7 linked regions of the Ovis aries genome follow. The protein of the gene in region 1 interacts with the protein of each later gene in a pairwise test. Links are inferred from orthologs where the notes say so. Each region holds a gene or a part of one and is shown in the gene's direction. Other genes may lie near its edges. The genes, in order: CREB3, ORMDL1, APOA2, ALG3, ADTRP, BCL2L1 and TMEM115.

Region 1 (4,074 bases):
ATTTGACAGGCATCCCTGTCCTACCACATACCTGAATCCAATCCCTGATCCCTAATTTTGATCTAATTTTTACCTGTAGCATCAACTCTGGACCTTTAACCCTGAATCTTCATCCCTAAACCTAAAGTTCATTTGTCACTTGATTCCTGATTCACCCCTTTCTTGTTTATCCCCTGTACTGGCTATGCTAACCTTCTCTAATCCCTAAATCTGGACTTCTAACTTAGTTTCTGTTGTTGACCCTTAACCTGAACTCTAATGTTGGTCGTTATAGAAAACAAAATAATGCCCTTAATCCAAACCTCACCTACACAAAACGCACCTCACACTAATAAATCTAAATTTTAACCCCAGCTGCACACTCCTAAAGCTAACCTTAACTCCTAAAACCCAACTCCACCTAATCTCCAACTCACCCATTCCTGCTCACGTACCCGCTATCAGCTAACCTCAAAGCCGATCCCCGCCCTGCGTCACACTGCCACCCACTCCTCACCCTCCCTCTAAACTATCCTAGGCCGAGGACTGCTCCAGGAAGGGCCTGGCTGCCGAAAAACTGCCTATTTAACTCAGAGCACAAGCAGAGATACACCGGACGCGAACCTCTCCAAGATGACCCGAAACAGACGCAGAAGTCAGGGGCCCTGCCCGCCCGCCTCCCAGGCCTGGTGTCGCGGCCCCACCCTGAGGCCCCAGTTCGCCCGGTCCGGCCTACCTGCGCTGCCCGGCTCTGTGCCCCGCCCGCCGGCCCGCTAACCCGCTCGTTCTCCCGGTGGCTCTCGGGCTGCGGCCTCGCCCTCCCTTCGACACTCTCGGCCACTTCCGTCCCGGGAACGTCCCCCACCCGCGGGCGGCGCCCTGGGCCCGCGCTCTATGGTCGCGGGCACTGCAGGAAGCTGCTCTGGCCCCAGCTCTCGATGCTCGGGAGCCCGCTGACGACCGGCAGCCCCTCCCCAGCCGGAAGCGAGGGTGCGGTGCAGTCCCGAGGAAGCGCCAGAACTGCGCCCTAGTTCCCTTTTAGGCTGTAATCCTTCCTTTTTCTAGCCCGGGGCGGAGCCGCTTCCTCAGAATGCCCGCCCTCAGGGACTGCGGAGGCGGAAGGCACGTCCCCTCTATTTGCATCGCGCCCTGGACGTGGCGCGTACAGCGGCAGCCTCCGCGTCGGGGTGGGGTGGGGGACTCCAACTCCCGGCATGCCTCGCGGGTAGGTGCGTCACTTGTGTTCTGTTGGAAGTCTAGCGGGGAGTGGAGTCTGGAAGGCGTGTCCCGGTTTCAGAGCCTTCGCCAGCAGCTAGGAGGAAAACGCCGCTGAAGAGCCGATAGGTGGGGCCGACTGACAGTCCGTCGCGGTTACGCCTGGTTGGGGATAGGGTCCGGGTGGCGAGGTGAACTCCTGTGTTTCTGCGCATCTTTTCCATAAATGTCTCATATGGAGCTGGCGTTGGACCCGGGTGACCGTGACCTGCTAGGCTTTCTGCTAGAGGAAAGCGGTGGTTTGGGTGCGGCGCCCGACGAGGCCTTGGCGTCTCCGCCGGATTGGGAGCTGCCACTTTCTGAGGCGAGTGGGGGGCTCTGAGTCGGGGAGGCGTGAGGCGGGTTTGTGGGCGGGGTAGGGGTGTCCCTGAGGCAGGGGGTGGTGATGGTCAAAGCCTGTCAATTTGAACCCTGTGCAGTCTCTGAGCGATTGGGACGTGGAGGATTTCCTGAGCTGCCTGCCGAGTCCCCCATCATCGTTGAACGTTTTCAGCAGCTCTAACTCCTGTCTTGTCCAGCATGACCACACCTATTCTCTCTCACAAGAGCATGTCTCCATAGATCTAGGTAAGCCTGAAATAAGTGAAGTTTGGGAAAGGAGAGGACTCCGAGGCCTGACTACTCATATTTTCCCTTTTGCAGATAATGAGAGCTATGGAAAAGAGGGGACTCAGATGACTCCACTGTGTGTGGAGGAGCCGGCAGATCAGGTACTTGACTTATAGGAGGGTTATTTCCGTATTGCGCGGGTCGGGGCAGTATTCCGCGTTACTTTCTGAAATCCCTTTGCAACTCTGCTGCCCATCTCTCCGGAACCGCAGGAGATTGCTAGGCTGATACTGACTGAGGAGGAGAAAAGGCTGTTGGAGAAGGAGGGGCTTACTTTGCCTGGGATGCTTCCACTCACTAAGGTAAGTCTCCCATCGCGGGGACGGGGGTTGTGAGTTCCAAGTAGGCCAGTTCTGTTAATTTTGTATCAGTAACTTGAAAAAGAATTGAGGTGAGAGATTAGCACATTTTTGAGTAGGAAGCTGGGGCATGTGGTTAGTATACTGCTTGCAAGGACAGATCCTGGTTTGTAGTGCTTTTATAAATTTTGGTGTTCTTTTTAACTAAGAATTCAAAATTATCAGGGTAATATTAGTAAAGGGATTTGGAAAGTACTGTACAAGCGCGGGGCTCTGATACTTATATTTCACTGGTTTCATGCAATTTACTTGTAGCTGAATAGTAAATCAAGTATTAGAGTAGTATAACAAGTAGTATAACAATTAAGTAGTATAACAAGAGTAAATGTGAAATTTGGAGTTTCAAGCAATGAGAGGCAGTTTCACATGCACAGTATTGTGATACTATGATGAAATCAATGTCTGTTAACAGAAAGGTTAACAATTTTAATTTCTCAAAAATATAAGTTGAGGCAATCCCCTGGCAATCCAGTGGTTAGGACTCTGTGCTTTCACTGCTCAGGGTCAGGGTGCAATCCTGGTCTGCACCAGGGTGCAATCCCCTGGTCTGGGAACTGAGATTCCACAAGTGCGAGGTGTGGCCAAAAAAAAGTACAAGTTGAGTCAACAGTGTGATATGGCTACTAAGGAAGAGAATGGGGTTTAGAAGCTGTATCATCAGATTTAGTTGTTGTTGTTTGGTCGCTAAGTCGTGTCCAACTCTTTGTAATTCCATGGACTATGGCCCCCAAACTCCTCTGTCCATGGGATTTCCCAGACAAGAATACTGGAGTACGTTGCAATTTCCTTCTCCAGGGGATCATCCCAACCCAGGGATGGAACCTGTGTTTCCTGAGTCGCCTGCATTGTAGGCAGATTCTTTACTGCTGAGGCACTGGGGAAGCCCAGTTGTATCATCAGATACCAGTTATCTAATAGTGTTGCCACTAGAAGGGCAGTAACTATCTTGTTTTCTTTTACATTGGCCAAAAAGCTTCTTAAGTTTTGAGCCTATTATCTTTGACAGATATTAAGAAGATGCAGTCCATCCTGAGAAGAGATAAGATGATGAGTTAAAATTTTTGCCCAGTTTTTTTTTTTTTTTTTAACTCTGAAGAAATGCCAAGTGCTTTAAAATAGCTGAAGACCTTTGTTCTATTATGGCCCCAGAGATTAGGTGCTAGGTAAGTCCAACAGGTAGAAATAACAAAGGCAGATGTTGGCTCATAAGGAAGGTTTTAAAAAAAAATTATCTAACAAAATTGTTACAATGGTTTGGCTTGTGAGGACAGAAGCATTCAGACAGAAGCAGAGTGCCTATTGGTCAGGGAAATTGTAGAAGGAATCTCTGCTTTGAGAAGATTGAACTCGGTTGCCTTCAAACTCTTTGGTCTAATGTTCCTCTGATGGGATCCCTTTTCCTGTCTTCTCCCAGATGGAGGAACAAGTCCTGAAACGAGTGCGGAGGAAGATTCGAAACAAAAAGTCTGCTCAAGAGAGCCGTAGGAAGAAGAAGGTGTATGTGGGGGGTTTAGAAAGCAGGTATGAAAGGGAGCTGGACTCGGGGGTGGGAGAAACAGGTAATTGGAAGTGTGAGGTTTTTGAAGGGAGGATACAGGCCATGTCCCCACATCCCTGTTATTCCTCCAGGGTCCTGAAATACACAGCCCAGAATCTGGAGCTACAGAACAAAGTACAGCTCCTGGAGGAACAGAATCTGTAAGCAGCTCTTTCACATCAGGGTTTGCTCATCCCTCCCGCTTACTACTGTCTCAGTCTTTCTCCTGCTCCATATTTGATTTGTCACCGGGCATCTCTCACATATGTCTGATGCTTGGTCTTTAGTGGGTCTCTGATTCCATGAAGCTCACAG
Region 2 (3,993 bases), about 67 Mb from region 1:
TTCCTGGCTAGGGAAGATGCTCTGGAAAATGAAATGGCAACCCACTCCAGTATTGCCTGGAAAACACCATGGACAGAGGAGCCTGGCAGGTTACAGTCCATGGGGTCACAAAGGGTTGGTCACGACTTGACAACTAAGCAACCACGCATATATATAGTCCACCTTCTCTTACACCAATTTTGAAATGCCCACTGAAAGTTATTTCAGCATTACAAATAAACTCTGTGTATTGCGAAGGTAATAAAATTCAACTTCAAAGATAACTACAAATAATCTGATTTTTTTCCTCTTTTATCTTGAATAAGATCAATTCTCAAAGGAATTCCCAGGCGGTCCAGTGGTTAGGATTTCACTTCGCTACCAAGGTCCGGGTTCAATCCCTTGTTGGGAACCAAGGATTCCACAAGCCTCCCTGCAACCCACGGGGAGCGGCAAAATAAATAATCCCTTGGAACCCATATTTCCTCAGCAAACAAGTACCCGTCTTCTGCGTGTAGAGAGACCCAGAATGACCTAAGTAAAAATCATCGCCAACCGAAAAGTTTGCTTGCCCCACTTGCATGATGCTACTACATACAATATCACGAAGCCTACCCTCACACTCAAAGACAGGCTGAATTATGGCTGTCCGGAGGTAAAATTCTGCCCGGCAAACTTTAAGACCTGCACTCACAAGGATCTGAGGAGTGGGCTGAGACACCGTTTAGTCAAGAAAGCCCAGACACTACGGAGGCCCGCAGCTGGTGGGAGGCCGCTACCCGCGTGTGCGCGCCCGCGAGCGCCGCTGCGCCTGCTTCCCGCTCCGCGAGTGGAGAGGGGGAGGGGCGCCCCCGGCGGCCCCCGGTGCTCGCGCCAGACCAGGACCAGGTCAGAGGAGGCCGCTCTCGAGCCTACAATGTAACAATGAATGCCCGTTGGCCACACGACACTACCTGCTTGCTCGCGCGACGTGGGCAATTACAATCCACTAGCGGACCGGCCAGCGTCCCGACGGGAGCCCGGGCCCGGCCTCGCTGAGTCCCGACTCACCCACAGCGCGCGCGGGGCGGGGCACACACGGAGCGCACCGCCCTCAGTCCCGCCCAGTCCGGCGAACGTGGGATTGGCGCCGCCCTCAGCCAATCCCCGGGCAGCGCTTTCCGCAAGGAGCGCTTCCGCCAGCCGCGCCGCGCGGCGCGGCGCTGAGGCTGACCACTCGCATCCGGCCTGAGGAGACGCCGCCTTCGCCTCCGCGGCGCTGGTATTGTTTCTGTCCGGCCGCCGGGAGTGGGGCGGCGGGTGAGTGGCCACGAACGGCCGCAGGGGCTGGGATGCTGCCTGTGCCGTGGGGAGCTTCTAGCAGGCCCTCGGCTTGAGGGGAAAGGTGGACTTTGGCTCCATCCGCAGCGCCCCGTCTGGCGATGCGGGCCAAGTGGCCCCCAGGACTTGCTCCCCAAATCCTCGTCGTCGCGTCCCGGCCGTGACGGGATGTGCAGCTCCGAGAAGAAAGGGTGGGGAGTCGGGGCGGTTTGGCGATAGCACAGCGGCTTTTGCTGAGCTTCCACTACCCGGGAGCTCCGGCCGCTGGGGAAGGCTGCCCTTGGCTGTGTAGCGGGCGGTCGCTGGGTTCCCTGCATCCGCGAGGGCAGCGCCGAGAGGGTTCTTTGCTCTGTGAAGTCATTGTTTGCTAGTCCTGAAGTGGCGCGGCAGACTCCCTGGAAAGGTTTTCTGCCCTGGGGTAGGATCAGTCTTCGCCTTCCGCCTCAGATGTAGATTTTAAGGTCTTTCGAGCATTTAAAAAAAAAAAAAAAATCTGTCGAAAGTGGGAAAAGCACCCTGTGTGGTGGCATGTTCTAAGTACAATTTATAGCGTATAAAAATTATATATTATGTACGGTGGATATTTAGACTGGAAGACATATTTACACGTTTAAATTTGAGACTGACTTGATGATTTTAGTGTAACTTTCATCACCGTAAGCCTATAGATTTTTGGAGGGAGAGGGCCATTGTACTCTGAAAATACTTGTTGGATGGAGTTAGGATAAATTTCTCTCTCAGTGCTGACTCTGTAATGAAAACGGTTTGTGTATTTTTAACTCAGCTGTTCCCAATACACTGTAGCACGCCCCCCCCACCCCCCAATCTCAGAAAGAAAAAAGGAAGGGGGAAGAAGGAAAGAGAAAAAAACAGTATTTTAGGGACGGTGACCAGAATTACAACGTGCAGAAGACAGACTCCTTGTTTTAACCTAATTGTATCACAAGATTGAGAGAGAAACCTCATCCTTTGACCATGTAAAATTTCCACCTCTTTGTGTTTCTCTCATTTTCAGTGTTCCTGAAGGAGTGATTTGAACTCTGACCACTCTATGGATACATTGTTAGGTGTAAGAGTCTGGCTACTCAGAACAGACTGGTTTAGTTTAACTTTGTTCTTTTTTGCATATTAGTTTATTCTGTTGGTGAACTTCCTGAATTTTCACTTTGCTCTCATGATATAAGAAAATGTAGGTTTTCTCTTTCAGTTTGAGGTTTCCTGCCCATTGTTTCATTTAGTAAAACCAACATGCTTGACGACAAGCTTTAGGAAAGGAATTTTAACTTTATTATTTTCAACAAGAAGCATAAAAATAAGTCTTGTCTGTCTTAGCTTAGAATAGGATGTGAATAACTATTGACCTCTTGGGGATGTGAAAGTAGCATATTTTGGAGGGTCTGTTCTATTTTAGAACGATGAGGAGGAAAAAAAGTAATCCCAGTAGCACACTTATTTTGTCATGTCAAAATTAGGAATATTTGAGTTTCCAGTTACATCAGTGTTGATTCATTTCATTGCTTTTCTACAGCGCAAACATGAATGTTGGCGTTGCCCACAGCGAGGTGAATCCGAATACCCGGGTAATGAACAGCCGTGGTATGTGGCTGACATATGCATTGGGAGTTGGCTTGCTTCACATTGTTTTACTCAGTATTCCCTTCTTCAGTGTTCCTGTTGCTTGGACTTTAACAAATGTTATACATAATCTGGTAAGAATTTCACCTTGTACTAAACACTTAAAACCTTAAGGTTTAATGATTTTTCAGAGACTGGGCGGGGAAAAATGGGGAGTTATTGTTCAATGGGTAATGTTTTGTAAGATGAAAAGTTCTGGAGATGGATGGTTGTAATGGTTACATAACATTGTGAATGTACTTAATACCGTAGAACTGTACACTTAAAAATGGTTAAGATGGCGTATTTATGTTATGTGTATTTAAACAATTTTTTAAGAACCTTAAAGTTTTATATTAAAAGAAAAACACATGACTCAGTTTTTAAACAAACAGTTATATAAAATTAAACCATTTATATAGTTCAGTGATTTTTTTGTATCTATGACAGTTTTGAAAAATTCTTATCTCAAATAAGATTATATTTTTGTATCACTTTATATTTAAACATTGGACCCTTTTTATAAGACCTTTTTTTTTCTTTCTGTTTTATAGAATCTGAAAAAAAAAGTCATTTTAGCAAAAATTACAAGATGCTTTAACTCAGACTACTATAATATATTGATTAACCAGAATGCATCAGAAGTAATTATGTTTTTTGGTTAACTAGAATCTAATGAACATCTTTGGTTTAAATCCTTGTTAAGTCTTTCTAAATTGTATAAATATACTTTTCTGTTTCAGTGTAGAAATTTTGAGTTTAATCTGTCTTAAATGATTCAAAAACTTATGGTGCCTTAGCTTCTTCCTGTTAACTATTGCTTTTGTATTATATGATAGCTCTACAAAGTACCAGAGATTAGACCGAATACTCTGGAAATTGCCTATTTAAAAACAAAAAACCTGATAGTGACTTTTTTTGTCTTTCACAAACTATTAAAATAGAATGAAAGGGGAGAAATCTAGTTATTTGAGACTTTTAGTTGAATCCAGATTAACTCTATTTGTTTAAAGATATATCCAAAATGAGAAACTTAGAACTAAAACAGAAAAGTGTAGGAGAAATAGATGTTTTTTAATT
Region 3 (3,258 bases), on another chromosome or scaffold:
TTCTTTCGAACACTGATTCATATCTCTCCTAGGGGCCCCGCCCCCACCCAGACCCGTACGAACCCCTGGGGACTCCACTTCGCAGTCCTTCACAGTACACAGTACACCCTCAGATGAATTCCACTCATAGGTACAGCTCTTCGTAGGAAAAGGGACCCACCCTCCCTCCTAGAGGTCCAAACCTTTTAAAGTTTACCCTCTTGTCCTCTCTGTAGAAAGGGAATGGGTGTGAGAGTTTGGGGTAGAGGAGCAGGGGCTGCAACCTGAGTTCCAGCAGAAGTAGTCCCTGAAACACATGACCTCTGCAGTTGATCTTTCCTTCCCTGGTTCCCTAGGAAAGAAAGTGAAAAGTTTCCCTAGGCAGAGTTGGCAAATAAAATCGAGAAATACAGGCTCCTGCCCTCAAATGCACTCCACTCCAAAGCCAGGGACAAATCAATGGAGCTCCCCTTCAAGCACCAAGTGCTCCACAGGGGAATAGTATAAGATAGAATAAAATTTCTTAGGCTCTGGTCGCCTCCTCTACTAGCTCTCATATCACCACTCCTATCTCTCAGGAAGAGGTCAAAGGATGAAAGATACAAATACTTGTGATCTCTATTTAGCTGATTTCACCCAAAGGCCTTGGGCCTGGGGAGTGCATCTCTGTCCTCCCTCACAATCAGGACAGGGACAAGGGCCAGGACCTTGGTCGGAGAGATGTTATGGCCCCTGCTGACTTGTATTGGCTGACCACTGCCTGGAACTGATAAGGGGATCAAATGCCCAGAGACCTTCAACCTTTATCCTGCCAGAGCACGCCAATGATGGGGGTGGGGGGGTGGGGGAAGGTGCGTTGGGTGGGCAGCAGCTGCTTTCTGAATTTGTTTTATTGGGGGTGGGCTGTGCTTGCTGATCTGCACTCAGGAAGGTCATTCTGGTTCTAGTGTTTTCTCCCCCATCTCATTCATTACACATTAACTCAAAAAAGTACAGAGTCGATCACACCTGGCCTCTGGCCCTAATCCTCATTCTCCTAACCTGCATTCCCCTCATCCCTGTCCCTGATTTTATTGCTTTTTTTCTGTCCCCCAATACCTCTCTGCCAAGTTTCAGTGAATGGGGGTAGGGTTGGGAGATGAAATTTACCCATAATGGTACGAAGATACCAACGGCTGAGGTCGTCAGATCTGATACATCAAAGTTTTCCAGGAAAAAAGAGAAGAAAACCCTAGAAGTCCTGCTTACTGAAGGATTCAGATCCAAGGACTACTGGTCCCAGGCCCCAAAGGAATGAGTCTTGAATAGGACTAAAACGTATCCCCTTGGCATCCATTAAGGCCCTCCCTCCGACCCCATCACCAGGCTCTCCTACATGCTGGCCTTTCCTCCCCTAACTTCTCTAACTTGTTTACTCCAGCATAGTCCCTGCCCCACTGGACTCCTCCAAAGTCCTTATCACCTGACGGGGTGGAGTGGGGAAGCACAGAGATATATAGCCCCTGCCTCCTCGGCCAGGCCAGACAGACGGCGAGGACAGCATCCCTGACCAGGTACAGTAAGGGAGTAAGAGGCGAGGGTGGTGTCCACAGACTTCAGGTAGAACAGGAGGGAGCCGGGTTGGAGTGGACGTGTAGGGAGCAGGTCGCAGGGGAAGGGGGAAGCCCATGCAGCGTCAGTGACCTCCCCTGCCCCCAACTGTTCACAGGCCACTTTCCCTGCCGTCAACACCATGAAGCTGCTTGCATTGACTGTGCTGCTCCTGACCATCTGTGGCCTTGAAGGTGGGTGTGAGCTGAAGAGGGGTCTCAAGGAGGAGAAGGTGCCCCACTGTCTGTGCTCCTATGCCCAGGTCTGGCAACCAGAGAGCTTAAAAGGAAAATCATCCCCTCTCTAAAGCCCAGAAAACCCATCCAAAGACCTGGAGTTGGATACCTGTTTGGGGAGAGGGCTGAGAGCTGAGGCTGAATACTGGCAGAGATGTGGGACTCATTGCTGAGGGCTCAACTGAGAGTGTGCGTGTGTGTGTTTCTGTGTATGTACAGGGGCTCTGGTTCGGAGACAGGCTGAGGAGCCAAATCTGCAGAGCCTGGTCTCTCAGTACTTCCAGACTGTGGCCGACTATGGCAAGGACCTCGTGGAGAAGGCCAAGGGCTCAGAGCTTCAAACCCAAGCCAAGTAAGTCTCAGCAAAGGGGTTCAGGGACCAGGGGGCTGTGGAGAGCAGGAGGCGAAGTTCAGAGATCCCACAGGGCACTGAGCTCAGGGGTGGGGGGCTCGGGAGGATGAGGTTTAATTGTAGAGGAAATGCCATCATCACCCTACAGATCCCTCAGACCTCCTCGACAGGGAGGGGCAGCAGGAACTGGGCTTCGAATTTCTCTCTCTGTTCCTCTGCCCAGTTGAGAACTCGCCTCCCCTCCTAGGAGCTTCACCGTGCCAGGACAGACCAGGCACTAGGGTTTGGGGCCTTGGGTCTCACCTCCCACCACAAGAAGGCCAGTACCCGTCCCTCACCCTCATTTCTAACCCCTCACGTTGCCAGGGCCTACTTTGAGAAGACGCAGGAGGAACTGACGCCCCTGTTCAAGAAGGCTGGGACTGACCTGCTTAACTTCTTGAGCAGTTTTATAGACCCCAAAAAGCAGCCTGCCGCCCGCTGAGGTGTGCAGACCCGGGCCTCCCACCCCTTGTTCGTCCCTGGAACACCCACTGGCCAGGCCTGAGACTCCTCTCCCTACCCACTCCTTGTTTTCTACAATAAACTTTGCAGGAATTAAGTTGTGAGCCTGGTCTGTTTTGGGGAACCAGGAGAAATAAGGGTTGTCGGGGAAGAGCAGGACGAAAAACAAAGAGAAATCTGCTTCTAACAGGAAAGGGTTTTGGTGTGAAGGGGTGGAGAAAGGGTTCACGAGACCAGTGATGGAAATGACAGAGTGGGAGGCGCTGGTGACTCTTCTCCAAACCCAGGGAATCTTTTTACAGGCCTGGGAAGGCCCTAGAGAGACTTTGCCTTGGACATGGTACCTTGAAAGGCACAAAAAATTCATAATCTGAATCCCTAGACTCCTAGAGGTCATGGGAAATGAGAGCACCCCTCAGAATTTCCTCTACCACACTATGAAGAGGAGAAAGCTTCCCCAAATGAGCCCAGAGGTGTCACCCAAGGCCCCTCCCCTCCATTCTGAGCCAGGGGACACTGTGCTTCTCCCCTGAAAAGAAAGTGAAAGTCCCTCAGTCATGTGCAACTCTTTAATTCTCCAGGCCAGAATACTGGAAT
Region 4 (4,255 bases), on another chromosome or scaffold:
TTTGTCCTAAATCATAGTCAACTAGCGCTGGGACTTGAACTAGGTCCTCTGAACTCGCCAGTGCTCGAGGCGGCCTCCCCAAAGTTCGTAACGGGGTCATGGATCACCTACCACCTTCAGACTCAGAGAGACTGTCTTTCCCCTGAAGGTCCCGGGACTAAGAATCTCTTCGCTCCTGTTTGCCCCGGCGAAATACTGCCGAGATTCTAAAGGTACTGGATCCTGACTTCTGACTGGAGTGTCCTCGGAGAGCGGCAGGCAGAGCGAGGGCGGGGCCAATCCAACCAGCTCCACCTGGACTGGGCAGCCCCGGAACTACCCACCTAGCACGAGGATACGGTCCAATGGCCGCAACTCCGGCTCTAGGAGGTCACGGAAGGAAGAGAAGTCTCCGAACCACTCGTAGGGGGCAGAGTCGGCAGCGCCCTGGTATCGGTGGTCCCAGTACTGGACCTCGCGGTACCCGCAGTTCTTCTCGGGTAACTCCGGCACCGGTGCGGAAGGCCCCAGACAAGCCATTGCTTGCGGCTGCCGGGCAGTGAGGGCAACTGGCCCCCACCTCTAGGCGGGGCGTGGTGCTCCAATGTAGCCAATGAGAATGGTGGCATATGGGAGGCGTGGCCTTTGTGTCTCCGCCGGGCATCTGCAGTTGCTCAACATAAACACGTGGAACTTCCGTCCTCTGCTAAGCGCTCCGGAAAGAATCTTCCGGGTGGGAAAGTCGTATTATCCATACGCTGAATTCTCTGGATGCACTGCTCACTAACTTCTGAGAGCCACACCCATGGTGTCACACATTCTGGGTCGTCACTGCTGCTGCTGCTAAGTCGCTTCAGTCGTGTCCGACTTTGTGCGACCCCACAGACGGCAGCCCACCAGGCTCCCCAGTCCCTGGGATTCTCCAGGCAAGAACACTGGAGTGGGTCGCCATTTCCTTCTCCAACGGGGTCGTCACTACCCACCTCATTTTCAGTTTGACAAGCTCTCTCCATTAAGAAGCCTGAATGTTAATAAGAGATTCATTTCTTCCCAGTTTTGAGCACCTGGAAGGCTCTGAGGGGTGGCGGGAGTAGTGCGGCCACGGGTCTTGCTCTCCAAGGAAGAGGGGCATGAACGCAGATATCAACACGGGCGAAGTGTTATGCTGGGCAGGGGTGGGGAGGGGAGTTGCGGAAGAGACAAGACGCGGGCAGAAAGAAACGTTACTTTTCTGGGCAAACGTTCGATTCACATTAGCGCCTTTGCGCCCAGGGCTAAGTACGTACTGAGGAGTAAGACTATTCCTGCTCGTATGGAGTGTGCACTCCATCAGGGAAGACAGATGTGAAAGCAGGAAATTTTCGAGTCGTAAACAAGGACTCACACAACTCCTGTCTGCGCTCAGTCCGTTGCGACACGTGGCGCTGGGAGCGGAACCTAGGTACCAAAGAGTCGGGCTTCCGGGGTAGCGGGCCCACAAGAGCGGCGCACCGGCAAGATGGCGGCAGGCCTGCGGAAACGCGGCCGGGCGGGTCCTGCAACCCGGGCAGCTGGACTGTGCGGGCAGTGGCTGCGGCGCGCCTGGCAAGAGCGGCGCCTACTGCTGCTGGAACCGCGCTACACGCTGCTGCTGGCCGCCTGCCTCTGCCTGGCGGAGGTGGGCATCACCTTCTGGGTCATTCACAGGGTGGCATGTGAGTGCGCCGAGGGGGAGGGGAAGAGGGGAAGGGAGACCGAACCCCCAATAAAAACTGGGACCCACATTCGGAACTCAAACTTAAACCCCTGATCCACTCAGCCATCAATTGCAGACCAATATCTTTTACCCAAATCCAAAGTCTGCTCCACAGAAAACCAAACTCGATCTTAATCTTCCCCAGAAAACCTGGGTCCAAATTAATGGCTGCTGCTGCTTTTCTGCGGAGAAGGCAATGACACCCCACTCCAGTACTCTTGCCTGGAAAATCCCATGGACGGAGGAGCCTGGTAGGCTGCAGTCCATGCGGTCGCTAAGAGTCGGACACGACTAGCGACTTCACTTTAACTTTTCAGTTTCATGCATTGGAGAAGGAAATGGCAGCCCACTCCAGTGTTCTTGCCTGGAGAATCCCAGGGACGGGGGAGCCTGGTAGGAGGCGTCTCTGGGATCGCACAGAGTCGGACACGACTGAAGCGACTTAGCAGCAGCAGCAGCAGCAGCAGCAGCAGCAGCAGCAGCAGCAGCAGCTGCTGCTTGTCTCTATGGCTTTGGACACGTCATATCCCTTGCTGGGTCTCAGTCTCCTCATCTGTTGAATTTTGAGGTCTCGAAGTATTTTCTCTGTGATAGCATTTTGTTACAGTCAGCTCGGCATTATTGGTCACTCCTCTCCAGGCAGAAAGCACTGGATTTAAAGCTTACTTGCTAAAGACAGTTAGTTCACTACATATTTACTAAGTGCTTATTATATTGCTAACACCATACTAGGTGCCAAGGGTATAGTGGTGAAAAAGATAGACAGATTTCCTACTTGTGTATGCGGACCTGGACAAAGATAAGTTAACAGAAAATTACATTACATTATATTCATCATAATGGTACTAGACAAAGTTCTATAATGGACAAAGGTGGGCACTTCAGCCAGACTTGAGGAGTCAGAGAAGGCTTCCTAGAGTCCTTTTCCAACAATAAGAGCTAGTTCCCCAAGGAAAGAGAGAAAGGGGTGGGGGGCAGATTATACTCTAGGAGAGAATCCTGTTCCAAAGAGCTCCCATTGAAAAAGAGAAAGTCTGCTTCCTTTGAAGAAATGAAATAATTAGAGTTGGAACACAGAAATCAAGTGAGGGTAGTATTAAGAGATGAGATTTCACATCATGAAGGTATCTCTAAGCTGTGTTAAGGAGATAGTATGATGATTAAGAATTTAGAGCTCAAGAAAAAAATAAAAAGAATTTAGAGCTCCATGTGTGCCAATCCCAACTCTTCCCTTCCTAGCTTACTGATCTTGAGCTAGTTACTTAATCTCATTAATTCATAGTTTTCTCTTCTAAAAATGGGAATAATAAAAAAAACTTGGTCTTTATTATCTAAGAGCAGTGGGGAATCACTGAAGGGTTTTAAGCAGAGAAATGTGATGTTTCTATTATAGGATGAGCTCTCTGGTTGCAGGGTGGACAATAAAATGTAGTGCAGTGAAAGTGGAAGCTGGGAGCCTAATTAGGGAGCTATTGCACCATTGAGGCTAGAGATTGTTACACCCAATTGAGCGGAGAAGGATGAGACAGATATTTAGGATGAAGAATAGGCAGGACTTGGTGACTGAGGGTTGGAAATGAAAGAAAAGTATCAAGGATGTTTCCCAGGTTTGTGACTTGGGCAAGTGAGAGGTTAATGGTGCCATTCATGGAATCCAGGAAGGGGACCACATTTGGAGTGGAAAGTTCTGAGTTCCATTACAGACATGTTTGATTTTGAGATACCTGGGTTCGTGCAGAGAATAGATCAGTTAGAGATGGGATTATGATAGAAATCCCAAGAATGAGCTGAAACTCTGTGCTTTGATGGAGCGAGGCAGAGCAATTCTGGACCGTGAAGTAATCACGTCATCCTGTCCTTTTGCAGATACAGAGATTGATTGGAAAGCCTACATGGCTGAGGTAGAGGGCGTCATCAATGGCACCTATGACTACACTCAACTGCAAGGTGACACTGGACCTCTCGTGTGAGTGGGGTCGGAGGTTCAGTGAGGATGGGAGGGGCTGGCTGGATGACAGGCTGAATAGCTTGACCTGGGCTCATGTTCCTTCTCTTCCAGGTACCCAGCTGGCTTTGTGTACATCTTTATGGGGCTTTACTATGCCACTGACCGAGGCACTGACATCCGCATGGCCCAGCACATCTTTGCTGTGCTCTACCTGGCCACTTTGCTGCTTGTCTTCTTGATTTACCACCAGACCTGCAAGGTGAGTTCTCACCACCAGGAGCAGGGCCCCCCAAGCTGGGAGGTCTGGGGAGTGGGGACGGTTCAGGGTTGGTGAACTGACCTTGTCCCCCACTGTGCCCACCTCTCAGGTACCTCCCTTCGTCTTTTTCTTCATGTGCTGTGCCTCTTATCGTGTCCACTCCATCTTTGTGCTGCGGCTCTTCAATGATCCAGTGGCCATGCTGCTGCTCTTCCTCAGTGTCAACCTCCTGCTCGCCCAGCATTGGAGCTGGGGCTGCTGCTGTTTCAGGTCAACACCCCTCCCTGGTGGACCCTTCTTTCATTTTCTGTATTTCCATCATTTTCTCCCCAGT
Region 5 (4,300 bases), on another chromosome or scaffold:
CTGGAGAAATATTGCAAAGGGCGTCTGAGGGTGTACAGAGCAAGTATGGTTCCTTTGTGGTCAGGCATGATGGCTCAGAGGGTAAAGAATCCACCTGCCATGCGGGAGACTTGGGTTCGATACCTGGATTGGGAAGATTCCCCAGAGAAGGGAACGGCTACTCATTCCAGTATTCTGGCCTGGAGAATCCCCACGGACAGAGGAGCCTGGTGGGCTACCGTCCATGGGGTCGCAGACTTGGACACAACTGAGCGACTTTCACTTCACTCTGGTTAGGGTTCAGACTGCAACTCAACCTGCCTCTTAGTTTCTGTTGAATGTATTCAGCTTGGGCTTCAATTTCCTCATCTGAAAGTGAGGGTTACAACAGAACATAGTTGATAGCAGTGTTTAGAGTGTTGCACAAAGCACTCGGAACAATACCTCCCACATGGTAAGTACTATATTAGGCAATATTATTATATTCGGTGTTAACTTAGGCTGTGGACCTGTGTGTGGGATTTTATATTTCTCATTTCCCAGACTACCCTTTCCTTTGAGAATGCTTCCAATGCAGACCCTATACTGTTGGCTCAGGCTTGCTCTTCCCTCGTGCTTAGCGCCTGATGTTTGGGATCCTGTGCCTGCTATTCTTTCCCCTAGTTCCTGTGAGCTCTGATTAAATCACCGAGCACCGCCCACTCCAGACTTACCAACTGCACCAGGGGCACTTCCCTTAGGGATCTGCTCAGAACCCTTGGAGCCAGTTGCCCGGGGGAAACGAGCTGGTGATGTCACAAGGTAGACACTTCCAGACCTCTCTGAGGTCCCCTCTGTCGGGCCTGTGGCAGGGCCCAGTTCTGAAAACTTAGCCCAGCCTGAGCATGTTCTTGTCCACTCCAAGACAATGCAGAGACCCTCATTCCCTCCCAGCGGTGTCCGAACTCAGGTTTGTTGGGGTTAGGGCCACACGTCTCTTCCTGTTCTCTGGCTACAGACCTCTTGCTGTACTTCTTTCCTCCCAGGGAATAGAAATCCCTATGCAAATAGAGTGTGTGGGACAGCTCTCAGTAACTCTTGGTTTTCTAGGATACAGATAAAAATCTGTGGGATGGGGGAGGGGCAGCTAAAACCCTGGGGCTGATCGATAGAGGATCAAAGGTTATTTTAGATTTCAGAGGGCCTCAGAGACCTTCAGAACAAGATTACAACACCCTTCCCATTTCTAGTTACTCCCGTCTGTGTGCTAAACGTACCCACGATCTCTTCCAGCAGGTTTGCCAACCTCATTCTCATTCTCTCAGGATATATTACGGCAACTTTCTCACGCTTTCCTTTCCCCAAAGGAAAGGGTAGAAAAGAGAGTATTTGGCCGTGACGGTATTTCACTAGACTTGACTTACCAATGAGGTTGTTGAATCATGCCCCACCCTAGCCAAATAGTGCAAAGGGCACTTCTTGCATCATGGCTCCCTGCCCTCTTCAAAGCCTAAATACTGACAAGCACAAGCAGAGCTTCCCAGCTGTGTTGGAGTTGTCAGTCTCAGAGGGGTGTATTTTACAGCGCTCCGTCTCCCGCCTGCCCTAGGACGTCAGCTGTTACAAGCACTTTGGAAGGAAGCAGCTCACGGCTCTCTGCTTAGACCTAGCCATGACGAGGACGTCTACGTGCGTATACCACTTGTTTGTCTTGAGCTGGTATATCTTCCTCAACTTTTATATCTCACTAGAAGGAAAGGATCCGCAGATATCCCTAATCTTTCAAAAGGGGGGAAAATGGAAGTACCTAACACTGCTTAATCTGGTAAGTACGCATCAGGAAGCAAGCTATTTGTCTCTCATATAAGTGCCTTAAACGTTAACACCCTTTGATTTTATCCAGTCCAAAATTCCATTATCTTTCTTCTTCATAGTTTGTGAGTTTGGGCATTCTCTTTTATTTGGCAATTTGCTCTGAGAAACCCACTTTGGGAGTTATCCATAGTTACCTCTTGTGTTGACTAATTGTGAAACACTTTTAAAAATTATTTTTAAAAGAATCTTATCTCTTTTTTAAAAAAATTATTAAAAATTGTTCTTTTTAAAAAAGGTTTAACTGGAAGATAATTGTTTTACAATGTTGTGTTGGGTTCTGCCATACTACAGCTGGAATCAGATATTAGTCAGAGTCAGTTCAGTCGCTCAGTCGTGCCCAACTCTTTGTGACCCCATGGACTGCAGCACTCCAGGCCTCCCTGTCCATCACCAACTTCCAAGGTTTACTCAAACTCATGTCCATTGAGTCGGTGATGCCATCCAACCATCTCATCCTCTGTTGTTCCCTTCTCCTCCCACCTTCAATCTTTCCCAGTATCAGGGTCTTTTCCTATGAGTCAGCTCTTCACATCTGGTGGCCAGAATATTGGTATTTCAGCTTCAACATCAGTCCTTCCAATGAACATTCAGGACTGATCTCCTTCAGGATGGACTGGTTGGATCTCCTTGCAATCCAAGGGACTCTCAAGAGTCTTCTCCAACACCACAGTTCAAAAGCATCAATTCTTCGGCGCTCAGCTTTCTTTATAGTCCAACTCTCACATCCATACATGACGACTGCAAAACCCATAGCTTTGACTAGACAGACCTTTGTTGGCAAAGTAATGTCTCTGCTTTTTAACATGCTGTCTAGGTTGGTCATAACTTTTCTTCCAAGGAGTAAGCGTCTTTTTATTTCATGGCTGCAGTCACCATCTGCAGTGATTTTGGAGCCCAAAAAAATAGTCTGCCACTGTTTCCACTGTTTCCCCGTCTATTTGCCATGAAGTGATGGGACCAGATGCCATGTCTTTGGAATCAGATATATGTATACATATATCCCTTCCCTCTTGAATCTGCCTCCCACTCCCCCCGTATCACCCCTCTAGGCTATCACAGAGCTCCGGGCTGAGCTCCCTGTGTTACACAGCAGCTTCCCACTAGCAATCCTTTTGTCAACTGGTGATGTCCATGTTTCAATGCTACTCTCTCAATTTGTCCCGCCCGCTCCTTCCTCTACTGTGTCCACGAGTCCTTGCCCCAATTGGATGTTTATTTCTCCTCTGTTCAAGCCCCCTCATGAATATGCAGGTTCCTTTAGCTTAAACCTTCCCCAGTTTTGCTATTTGGGGAGACACTACTTGATGAGAGATCCCCAAGTGTTCTCCTTACTTGCTGCAGGTAATAAATCCTTCCTTCTCAGGGGTAAAAAAAATAATCTTACCTTGAAGTGCTTCTCAGATGAGCCTAAACGAGGAACTAAAGTCATGGTTTCATGGTTTCCTGATGACATTGACAACATATGCAGAAGAGATTTTGAACTTTGCTTGGGGAAGTCTGTGAGGGAAGGCAGAGTGGCGTATGTTGTGTAGGAAGTGCAATTTCCAGTGGAGGAATAATGCCATTTTACAGCACACCCAGACTAACAGATTTATCTAAGAAAAGCAAATACATTTTGCCACGTTCAGATCCCACTTCAAGTTTTTTATAGGCTCAGGCTCCATCTTAAAGGACAAATCACCCAACCAAATGGCAAATGCACATTTTCAACCATCCACAAACCAATCACATCGCTTGCTCCTTGCTTCTCTTCCTAGCCCAGCTGACCACAATGGGATGAATGAAATGATGAAGTATAAGTGAACGGGAGAAAAATAGATTTCTAAAAAACATTTGGGGAATATGTAACATTATTTTTAGAGTTAAAAGCTAAGAATGCTGTATCCTTTGGGGATGCTAATTTAAGTTTTGGAATTTTTAACCTAAATCTAGGGTGCAATATAAGTATTTGATTCCAATTCTTTGGCATCATAATCCAGGCAGACGTAATGCATGGTAAGAAAAAAAAAAAAAAAGACTCTCTGTAATGCTAAGGAGAGGAAATTCAGAAAGCTCAGTTCACAGAGGCCTGGAATTTCAGCTTCCTCCTCACTGGTTATCTGACTTTGGGACCTGAAATTTGAGATTTGAGCTCTGAGCATTCTAAGTCGATTCAGTCATGTCCAACTCTTTGCAAACCTATGGACTGTAGCCCCCAGGCTCCTCTGTCTGTGGGATTCTCCAGGCAAGAATACTGGAGTGGGTTGCCATGCCCCCATCCAGGGGATCTTCCCGACCCAGGGATCAAACCCTTGTCTACTGCATTGCAGGCAGGTTCTTTACCACTAGTGCCACCTAGGAAGCCTGAGTACAGCTCTACCATGCTTGAAAAATATCAAGGTGACTGCCTGTTTCAATCATAGAATTTTATGAAAACAAGTAAACAGAAAACAATAACAAAAAAATGATTTTGTAGAATTAGAATAAT
Region 6 (4,128 bases), on another chromosome or scaffold:
GAGCGGTTGCCTAGCAACGGGGCGGTGGCCAGGCGGGTACCCGGCCTAGCGCGCGGAGGAAGCCGCGAGGCCGCAGCCCACCCACCCCGGCCTCTAGAGAGGTGCAACCCCGGGCCCCTAAGCTCCCGGGGGTGCCAAGAAGCCAGCCTGGGCCTGTCCCCAGGAAAACGTAGTCTCAGCTGTGGGGGGTCTCGAGCAGGCCTCGACCCTTGTCTCTGACCGGTGGAGAGGCTCGGCGCCTCACCCTCGCCCGGTCTTTGTGCAGGGCGCCGGCGGCCATTGTGTCCGTGCGGGGAATGGAGGACCCGGCAATCCCCCACTGCCACCGCCACTACCAGGGCCTTTGGGGAATTCAAAGAAAGCCAGCGGCGTTTCTGGGGGGTCTCCGGCTTTCAGCCTCCCAGAAAGGCCCGGGGATGGCCTTTCCAAACTCAGACCGCAGATCCAAGGCAGTGTTCCCCTCCCTCTGTTTCTCATCGAAACCTTGAGCCCCATCGAGAAGTCCCTTCAAGGTTTCTTCGGAAGCCTCACCCAGGGCTGATACTGAAATAGAAAAAAAAAAAAAAAAAAACTAAAGCTCACACCAGCCACCTCCGAGAGAGTTCTCCTAGCTCCCAGTAGGAGGCGGAGAGCCAAGGGGCGTGCAAGAGCGAGGGGGCTGGGCTCCCGGGTGGCAGGAGGCCGCGGCAGCGGCCGCCCTCGATCGGGGCGATGGAGGAGGAAGCAAGCGAGGGGGCCGGTTCTTGAGCTTCGTAATTCCTGTGTCGCCTCCTGAGCTCTCAGTTCGCCGGGTCGCATGATCCCTCCAGCCGGAGCTGCTTTTTTTGCCAGCCGCCGCCGCGAGGCCGGTTGACTTACCGGCATCCCCGCTGCCACCTCCTCTCCCACCTATGATACAAAAGATCTTCCGGGGGCTGCACCTGCCTGCCGTCGCCTGAGACGGATTTGAATGTAGGTGGTGAGGGTTTATGGGGGTGGGGGGCAGACTGCCCATGGGGGTGACTTTTCGAGGAAGACATTTCAGAGAAAAGGGGGTGGCTGGGATAAAAGGGGAGGAAAAAAAGGCCGGTGTGATGATTCAGAGCCCACTGGTGCTTTCAAATTGACTTCATCGAAGTACCTGGGAAGCTAGACCCATATCTTCATAAGAGCGGCAGAGAACCCAGTTCAAGTACCTGGAGTGGGGAATGGGATATTGTAGGTAAATGGCTTGCATATTCATTTTTTCCCCCCTGAAGCTCTTTCTTTCCCTTCAGAACCTTGTCTTGCCTTTGGATCTTCGAAGAGAACCACTAAGCAGAGACCAGACCCAGTGAGTGAGCAGGTGTTTTGGACAATGGACTGGTGGAGCCCATCCTTATTATAAAAATGTCTCAGAGCAACCGGGAGCTGGTGGTTGACTTTCTCTCTTACAAGCTTTCCCAGAAAGGATACAGCTGGAGTCAGTTTAGTGATGTGGAAGAGAACAGAACTGAGGCCCCAGAAGGGACAGAATCAGATATGGAAACCCCCAGTGCCATCAATGGCAACCCATCTTGGCACCTGGCGGATAGCCCTGCGGTGAATGGAGCCACCGGCCACAGCAGAAGCTTGGATGCCCGGGAAGTGATCCCCATGGCAGCGGTGAAGCAAGCCCTGAGGGAGGCAGGCGATGAGTTTGAACTGAGGTACCGACGGGCATTCAGCGACCTGACGTCCCAGCTCCACATCACCCCAGGGACAGCATATCAGAGCTTTGAACAGGTAGTGAATGAACTCTTCCGGGACGGGGTGAACTGGGGTCGCATTGTGGCCTTTTTCTCCTTCGGTGGGGCACTGTGCGTGGAAAGCGTAGACAAGGAGATGCAGGTATTGGTGAGTCGGATCGCAACTTGGATGGCTACTTACCTGAATGACCACCTAGAGCCTTGGATCCAGGAGAACGGCGGCTGGGTAAGAACCACGCCCCTTATGTATTCCTTTTCCTTGGCTTCTGGTCAAATCCCCAACAACCTTTCCCCTGTGTCTGTTGTGCTGGGTGATTATTATTGTTTGTTAAGGAGACATAACTGGCCTCTTTGTATCACAGAGGTTAACTTCTGAAATACAGATGACCTAGTTCTGTGAGGACCAGACATCTTCATTCTGGTCTTCCTCGTGACCCTACTCTGTCATACTTGTGTTCCAGTTTCTCTGCAGAAGATAACATAGCCTGTGTGTTCATTTGGCCCCAAACCTTTGAGAATGCAAAGGTAACAGGTTACCCCTCACCCTGACATAATGGCTCACAACGTTAAGGGGTGATGAGTGGAATGCCTGGAGAAGATAGTGAATATCAGTGACCCACCAGCCCCTTCAGTCTTACTCCCTTGAGCTGTCAATCCTGTCCTGGGCTTCCCTCCTCCAAATCAGGTTCCCCTTATTTCAGAGTTTGCATGGCCTGGCTTTGCATCCCTCTGGATGGCTGAGGATTGTCTGATTTTAGGTTGTAAGCTGCGCCAATGGGCCAGTTGTGTTTGTGCTGTGCCCCATATTTATTGGCTCTAAAGTATGCGACTTTTCTGTGTGGTTGGCCAGTTTGCGGAGCGCTTGCTGTCAGCCCAGGGACTTTGCACCTCACTGCCTGGGTTGGTTGGGGAGCTCCAGCTGTTATGCTTGTCACTTTTCTGCCATGGCCCTGGGGCCTCTTCACTGAGCACTGTTTGCTGGCAATGCAAGAACCTGATCTTTGGGGCTCCTTGGGACATTGAGATTCAGTGACAGACTTCAGAAACAAACTGACACAGATGTGAGTCCCAGCCCTGTCACTTAACTAGGTGTGTGACCTTGGACAGGCCAGTTTACCTTGAGCCTCAGGTTCTTCCACTAAAAAAATGTGGCCAACCCTCTTGCCTTGCAGTCCTTGTAAATCTTGGAGCTGATGTGAGCATAGTGACAGGAAGTTTGCTCTAGTAGTTACTGTCAGATCCAGGTACACCTTCTGAAACTGAGTCGTGCCTCATTCCTTTGCCAGGGAAGAGAATTCCCTTGCCCTGATATCACCAAGTCAGGATGAGCTGGTGTGGAGGGATTCTTTACCTGTGGTCACTGTCAGCAGCTTTTGCTCTCTTGCAGTGAACTCAGTCATATCTCCTCGCTTATCTCCCTGCCTCAGGGAGGTGTAGGGCTTAAGAGAGGTATTCATTCTGTCCTTCAGAAAATTGAGCAGGCTGTGGAAAATAAGTCATCTATTGAAGGAGCTGAGGTGGAAAGGGCCACGCACCATGGACTCAGGAATGTTAAGAATGCAATTATCCAGAGGCTGGGCCTAGGGTGTGGCAGCCACTTCAGTTTACCACTGAGCAAGGGACCTCCAGGTACACCACCCCCTGTCTTATTTCCCATTTCTTTGCAACTTCATCAACTCTTCCCACTGCCAGTTCTTATAAAGAGCAGAGTAGAGGTCAGATGACCGGGGTGGGGCTGGGAAGGTAAAGGTGGAGGGCTTTCTTTGGCTCAGACTGACCCAACTTGAAAGCCTTTCAGTAAATGAACTCCCTGGGGGAATAAATGATTAAATAGTTCCTGTTGGTTTGTGTGATGACCTCTCTTTTTCCCTCCTGCTTTGATTTTCTTTAGGGGCAAATATTTGTTTAACTTACTACAGGAGGGACAGGATTCCAGCGTTTCTGACACACCCTCTGAGGCCTAAGTAGAGACTTGGGCCATTTGCCCCTCACTGTTATCTCTGGCTGGTGGTCCTAATTCCATGTGGGTTGTGGCCAACTGTTAACAAAAGGCAACATGGGAGAGGTTCCTGGCCTGCCAGCCAGTTGTCTAAGAGGGCCACCTGGACCAGAGAGTTGTTAGTCACCCAGTGTTGCGTGTGGAAAGAGGTCTTTGACACAGCAACACTGGGCAAGATCATTAGATCACCACTGGATTGACATTCCATCTTCTGCTGTCTCTTTGCCCAACAGCATACCATGTGTTACTTCCTCTTGGTGGACAGAGGGGATGTGTGCAGAAGAGCCAGTTATATCAGAACCGTTTCTGGGCACGTGTTCTTCCCGAGGCCAGGAGATAGAGAACATGTGACACTGGGATCCTTTGGGTAGAAGGTGCCGCCCACTTCCTCTCGGGGACCATTCTGTTTGAGCTGCACACTGG
Region 7 (4,131 bases), on another chromosome or scaffold:
ACCTTTCCTCACCCTCCACAATGGTTGGCCACATAGCAAAGACTAGCAGTCCCTGAGACAGCTCCCATGCTCGGCAACAGCCCCAGAGGTCCTGGGTTAGATCTGCCATGTGAAATACAGAACATCTAATCTGACTGGGATTTCAGATAATTAATATTTTTTAGTATGTTCCCAACATTGCATGGGACATAACTATAAAAATTGGAGTCACATGTATCCTGAAAAAATTGTTTATCTGAAATTCAAATCTCATTGGCCTGTATTTTGATTTGCTAAATCTAGCAACCCTACCCCTGCGTAGCATCCAGCGGGAACCCAGACCCCAAAGTTAAGGCATAGCAACACGTGTGATTTGGAAGACTATGCACACATCAGCAGTTGTACTGCTGGTGGAAAGGAAGGGATTCTGTACTTTTAAAATGTGCTTTGTTACATAATTAATTATATGCACATTTTAAAAATCCAGTTTTGCACAGGTAGCTTCAGGTGGCTGCTTGAAGCCACCACTGCAGTGAGACAGGGGTCCAAGGCCAGCCTGATTCAAGTTTGTGTGGAGAGACCTCTCCATCAGGATCATCCATTGACTGGGTGAGGAAGAGTCATTGAGAGAGGTCCTGCCTCACCCCTTTTGGGGCTGGAGACCGGAGTTCAAGTGTGGGCTCCACCTCACTTGTACACAAGGGCAGCATGGGCAGCACACTCGCTGAGCAACCAGGGTGGACTGCATTTTACATCCCAGTCCCCTTGGATCCTCACGGTAGGTCCCGTCATCATCTCCATTCAACGGTCCATGAAACTGAGTTTCAATAAAGTTCGGGAATTTGGCCAATGCCACGCATCCGTCAGATGACAGAGCAAGAATTCCAACCTGGGTCAGGCATACACCCGACCGTGGAAGTTCCAGGAGTTCGCGCCCGGTCATCCAACATTCTTAACTCGCACACCTGCCTACAAGGACACACCCACTCAGATGTACGGTCAGACATGGAGCCACGCCTCCCGGGAAATTCAGAAAGTGCATGGCGTGCAGCTGTGCAGCCGCTGGTTCTCGCGGCTCTCCAGAGGTCATTCGCCTTCCCCCCACGTCTGGAGAACCGGCGACCACGGTCCTGAGCACTACAACTCCCAAGCACACCCGCCTCTCCCGCCGCACAGCCTCCTGGGACTTGTTCTACCCAGAGCCCTGATCGCCGCAGGTCCCAGTGTGGCCGAGGACTTCATGTCCCAGCATGCCGCGGAGCCGCAAGGCCGACGCTCAGAGGGCTTCCTGCCTCCGTCGGGGGCGCGCAGGCGCAGCGCCCTGTTTGTCGGCGCCTGAGAAGGGAGGAGGTACTGTCGAAACCGAGACCGAGGCCGAGGCGGAGCTGACCAGACTTGACTCCGGCCCAGAACTAGTCTCCGCGCCGCGCGGACCGTAAGAGGCCCCAGAGTGGATGGAGGAGATCGAGCCCTGAGATCACCGCCAGCCCGGTCGGCGCTGTGGCCACACAGGGCGGGCGGGCAGGCGGTGGTGCCTAAGCTGCTCGGGGCCTTTCCTCAGATTCCCCGTCGAGGGGCCTAGGCCCCGGCCCCGCGACCGACCAGGCCCGGCTCTGCCCTTTGGGACCGGAGTCGACCCGACCGGAAGTAGAAGCCTTCACCGGGGCCATAGGCCAGTGACTAGGTCGGGCCCGGGCCTCCCGTCGGGGCCGGACTGGGAAGAGGCCCCGGGGAGGCCCCTAGCCCACTAAACCCTTCCCTCAGGCCAACGCCCGCGAAGAAGATGCAGCGCGCCCTACCGGGCGCCCGCCAACACTTGGGGGCCATTCTGTCCAGCGCCAGTGTGGTGGTGAAGGCTCTGTGCGCGGCGGTACTATTTCTGTATCTGCTGTCCTTCGCCGTGGACACGGGCTGCCTGGCGGTCACCCCAGGCTACCTCTTTCCGCCCAACTTCTGGATCTGGACCCTGGCTACCCATGGGTTGATGGAACAGCATGTGTGGGATGTGGCCATCAGCCTGGCCACCGTAGTGGTAGCTGGACGTTTGCTGGAGCCCCTCTGGGGGGCCTTGGAGCTGCTCATCTTCTTCTCAGTGGTGAACGTGTCTGTGGGGCTACTGGGGGCCTTCGCCTACCTCCTCACCTACATGGCTTCCTTCAACTTGGTCTACCTTTTCACTGTCCGCATCCACGGCGCCCTGGGCTTCCTAGGTGGTGTCCTGGTGGCACTCAAGCAAACCATGGGGGACTGTGTGGTCCTGCGAGTGCCCCAGGTGCGTGTCAGTGTGGTGCCCATGCTGCTGTTGGGGCTGCTGCTGCTGCTGCGGCTGGCCACACTGCTCCAGAGCCCGGCACTGGCCTCCTATGGCTTTGGGCTGATCTCCAGTTGGGTGTATCTTCGCTTCTACCAGCGCCATAGCCGAGGCCGAGGGGACATGGCCGACCACTTTGCTTTCGCCACCTTCTTCCCCGAGATCCTGCAGCCTGTGGTGAGCCTGCTGGCAAACCTGGTGCATGGCCTCCTGGTCAAAGTAAAGATATGCCAGAAGACAGTGAAGCGCTATGATGTGGGCGCCCCATCCTCCATTACCATCAGCCTCCCAGGCACAGACCCTCAAGATGCAGAGCGGAGAAGGTACTGTGAAATCTTCCAAAACCTTGTTGAGCTAGGAGAATCTTACAGATCAGGTCACATTCCATCTTTTGAGGTGCTTGCTTGCTGTATGTAGGCTGGCAGCTGTATGCAGGCTTACAGTAAGATGTTGGGGGCAGACTCAGAGAAAATCCAGTTTGTGGCCTTGATCTCAACACTTCGGTATCTGGGCTGCATACGTTGCTTTCCAAAATTAGGGAGTAAAAGTTGTCTTTCTCACCACTCAGGGTGCTTAAGTTTCAAGAAACGCCCTGCTTCCTTTTGAACTGTGTGAGGACTAGTGGAGAGCCAGGTACATATAAGCCTGGCCTTGTCTCAGAATCTTGGCATTCTTGACACTGGTCCTGTGGGAGCCAGAAGCAACCCGCTGGTCCTTTTTCCCCTGTGAGAGAGGGACAGGGAAGGAGACCTGGGATCCTTCTGAGGTGGTTGGGGCCACCCCAGTTTCCAAGTGCTGGACTCCACCCTCTTCCTGGGCCTTAAATTCAGATGTCGTGCTTCTTTGCAGCTTATTTATTAACAGGGAAGCCTGGGGTATAACTAGACTTAGACAACCACTGGCCCATGTACACCGACTCTGGCAGGCATGTGTCACCAAACCCAGGGGACAGCCACGTGACCCACCGAGGGAGCCTGCTGACCACACCAGGGAATGGAGACAGCCTTTTCATTATCTGTAAACCAAGCCATCTGCACCATCAGGAGTCTCAGCTGAATTATTCACTTACTGCACCTTGGCCAGGGCAAGACAGATCTTTTTTTAATCCATTTCTTTCTCTCTCCCAGGCCTATGGACTCACCAGAGTGGGCACAGCTCTGTTTCTAACATTATTCTTGAGTGGTTTTTGTTGTTGTTTGCGTTTTTGTTTTTTTATGCAATTACTTGAATTGTGAAATCTAGAGCAGGTTCTGTTCCAACTCTGTGCATTTGTAAAAGGCTTCTGCTTTTGCATACCTGTGAGATGAGTTCTTAGCAGGCAACTTTACAAATTCAGCTGGACTTGTTCCAGTGCTTCCTCTCCACTGGGGCTTTGGCGTGTGGGACACACCCCTCTCCTGAAGGAGTTTCCAACTAGAGAAGGCCAGATTACTGTGGCCCAAGGTGCCAGGTGTTAGTACACATGGCATGCCACAGAGCTTGATTGTGGGCCTTACAGTTTGTGTCTCCGTGGCTCTCAATCCTAGAGACTGAGTTCTTTATTAATCTTTAACCTTAACTGGTGGAGGAGATGCAGCCAGAAGGGCTGGGCCTAGTGGAAACTGAACTGTTCTCAGAGATGTTCGGGTGATCCCAGTCCACAGTGGTGGCCCCTCCTCTAGTGAGAAATCTTGGATTGTTAGGGTTGGCTGGACATTCGAAAAAACTTCACAGCCCCAAGAAACTGGACAGTGGGAGGCATGTTGGGGTGTGGTGTCAGGAAGGGGGTTCCTGGCATAGCCTTGTGGTTGTTACCTTGCTTCGGGATAGGGGTCACTTTACCAAGCAGTTTGATCTCTTGC

What was found.
Region 2: the proteins of CREB3 (region 1) and ORMDL1 interact in a two-hybrid assay, tested with the Homo sapiens proteins (2 studies listed by BioGRID and IntAct). The two-hybrid records come from large-scale screens. The link is inferred for Ovis aries from reciprocal best matches to the Homo sapiens genes CREB3 and ORMDL1.
Region 3: the proteins of CREB3 (region 1) and APOA2 interact in a two-hybrid assay, tested with the Homo sapiens proteins (3 studies listed by BioGRID and IntAct). The link is inferred for Ovis aries from reciprocal best matches to the Homo sapiens genes CREB3 and APOA2.
Region 4: the proteins of CREB3 (region 1) and ALG3 interact in binary tests that used the Homo sapiens proteins (3 or more experiments, as listed by UniProt). The link is inferred for Ovis aries from reciprocal best matches to the Homo sapiens genes CREB3 and ALG3.
Region 5: the proteins of CREB3 (region 1) and ADTRP interact in a two-hybrid assay, tested with the Homo sapiens proteins (2 studies listed by BioGRID and IntAct). The two-hybrid records come from large-scale screens. The link is inferred for Ovis aries from reciprocal best matches to the Homo sapiens genes CREB3 and ADTRP.
Region 6: the proteins of CREB3 (region 1) and BCL2L1 interact in a two-hybrid assay, tested with the Homo sapiens proteins (2 studies listed by BioGRID and IntAct). The two-hybrid records come from large-scale screens. The link is inferred for Ovis aries from reciprocal best matches to the Homo sapiens genes CREB3 and BCL2L1.
Region 7: the proteins of CREB3 (region 1) and TMEM115 interact in a two-hybrid assay, tested with the Homo sapiens proteins (2 studies listed by BioGRID and IntAct). The two-hybrid records come from large-scale screens. The link is inferred for Ovis aries from reciprocal best matches to the Homo sapiens genes CREB3 and TMEM115.

What each region holds. Positions count from the first base shown.
Region 1 is NC_056055.1:52,808,428-52,812,501, reverse strand, and holds the start of CREB3 (cyclic AMP-responsive element-binding protein 3), read left to right. Parts: upstream 1-1,274; 5' UTR 1,275-1,420; coding exon 1,421-1,558; intron 1,559-1,673; coding exon 1,674-1,821; intron 1,822-1,896; coding exon 1,897-1,964; intron 1,965-2,075; coding exon 2,076-2,165; intron 2,166-3,636; coding exon 3,637-3,743; intron 3,744-3,851; coding exon 3,852-3,920; intron 3,921-4,074. UniProt on the Homo sapiens protein: Endoplasmic reticulum (ER)-bound sequence-specific transcription factor that directly binds DNA and activates transcription. Plays a role in the unfolded protein response (UPR), promoting cell survival versus ER stress-induced apoptotic cell death.
Region 2 is NC_056055.1:119,574,570-119,578,562, forward strand, and holds the start of ORMDL1 (ORM1-like protein 1), read left to right. Parts: upstream 1-1,193; 5' UTR 1,194-1,467; coding exon 1,468-1,490; intron 1,491-2,827; coding exon 2,828-3,008; intron 3,009-3,993. UniProt on the Homo sapiens protein: Plays an essential role in the homeostatic regulation of sphingolipid de novo biosynthesis by modulating the activity of the serine palmitoyltransferase (SPT) in response to ceramide levels.
Region 3 is NC_056054.1:112,658,664-112,661,921, reverse strand, and holds APOA2 (apolipoprotein A-II), read left to right. Parts: upstream 1-1,500; 5' UTR 1,501-1,532; intron 1,533-1,687; 5' UTR 1,688-1,711; coding exon 1,712-1,763; exon of another isoform or gene 1,764-2,024; coding exon 2,025-2,157; exon of another isoform or gene 2,158-2,523; coding exon 2,524-2,641; 3' UTR 2,642-2,758; downstream 2,759-3,258. UniProt on the Homo sapiens protein: May stabilize HDL (high density lipoprotein) structure by its association with lipids, and affect the HDL metabolism.
Region 4 is NC_056054.1:203,711,449-203,715,703, forward strand, and holds the start of ALG3 (dol-P-Man:Man(5)GlcNAc(2)-PP-Dol alpha-1,3-mannosyltransferase), read left to right. Parts: upstream 1-1,455; 5' UTR 1,456-1,477; coding exon 1,478-1,673; intron 1,674-3,580; coding exon 3,581-3,680; intron 3,681-3,773; coding exon 3,774-3,921; intron 3,922-4,030; coding exon 4,031-4,191; intron 4,192-4,255. Other genes in the region: ECE2 (endothelin-converting enzyme 2), read right to left, coding at 324-519. UniProt on the Homo sapiens protein: Dol-P-Man:Man(5)GlcNAc(2)-PP-Dol alpha-1,3-mannosyltransferase that operates in the biosynthetic pathway of dolichol-linked oligosaccharides, the glycan precursors employed in protein asparagine (N)-glycosylation.
Region 5 is NC_056073.1:43,811,480-43,815,779, forward strand, and holds the start of ADTRP (androgen-dependent TFPI-regulating protein), read left to right. Parts: upstream 1-1,500; 5' UTR 1,501-1,630; coding exon 1,631-1,783; exon of another isoform or gene 1,784-4,300. UniProt on the Homo sapiens protein: Hydrolyzes bioactive fatty-acid esters of hydroxy-fatty acids (FAHFAs), but not other major classes of lipids. Show a preference for FAHFAs with branching distal from the carboxylate head group of the lipids.
Region 6 is NC_056066.1:60,937,206-60,941,333, reverse strand, and holds the start of BCL2L1 (bcl-2-like protein 1), read left to right. Parts: upstream 1-1,328; 5' UTR 1,329-1,368; coding exon 1,369-1,932; intron 1,933-4,128. UniProt on the Homo sapiens protein: Potent inhibitor of cell death. Inhibits activation of caspases. Appears to regulate cell death by blocking the voltage-dependent anion channel (VDAC) by binding to it and preventing the release of the caspase activator, CYC1, from the mitochondrial membrane.
Region 7 is NC_056072.1:50,040,172-50,044,302, forward strand, and holds the start of TMEM115 (transmembrane protein 115), read left to right. Parts: upstream 1-1,331; 5' UTR 1,332-1,762; coding exon 1,763-2,613; intron 2,614-4,131. UniProt on the Homo sapiens protein: May play a role in retrograde transport of proteins from the Golgi to the endoplasmic reticulum. May indirectly play a role in protein glycosylation in the Golgi.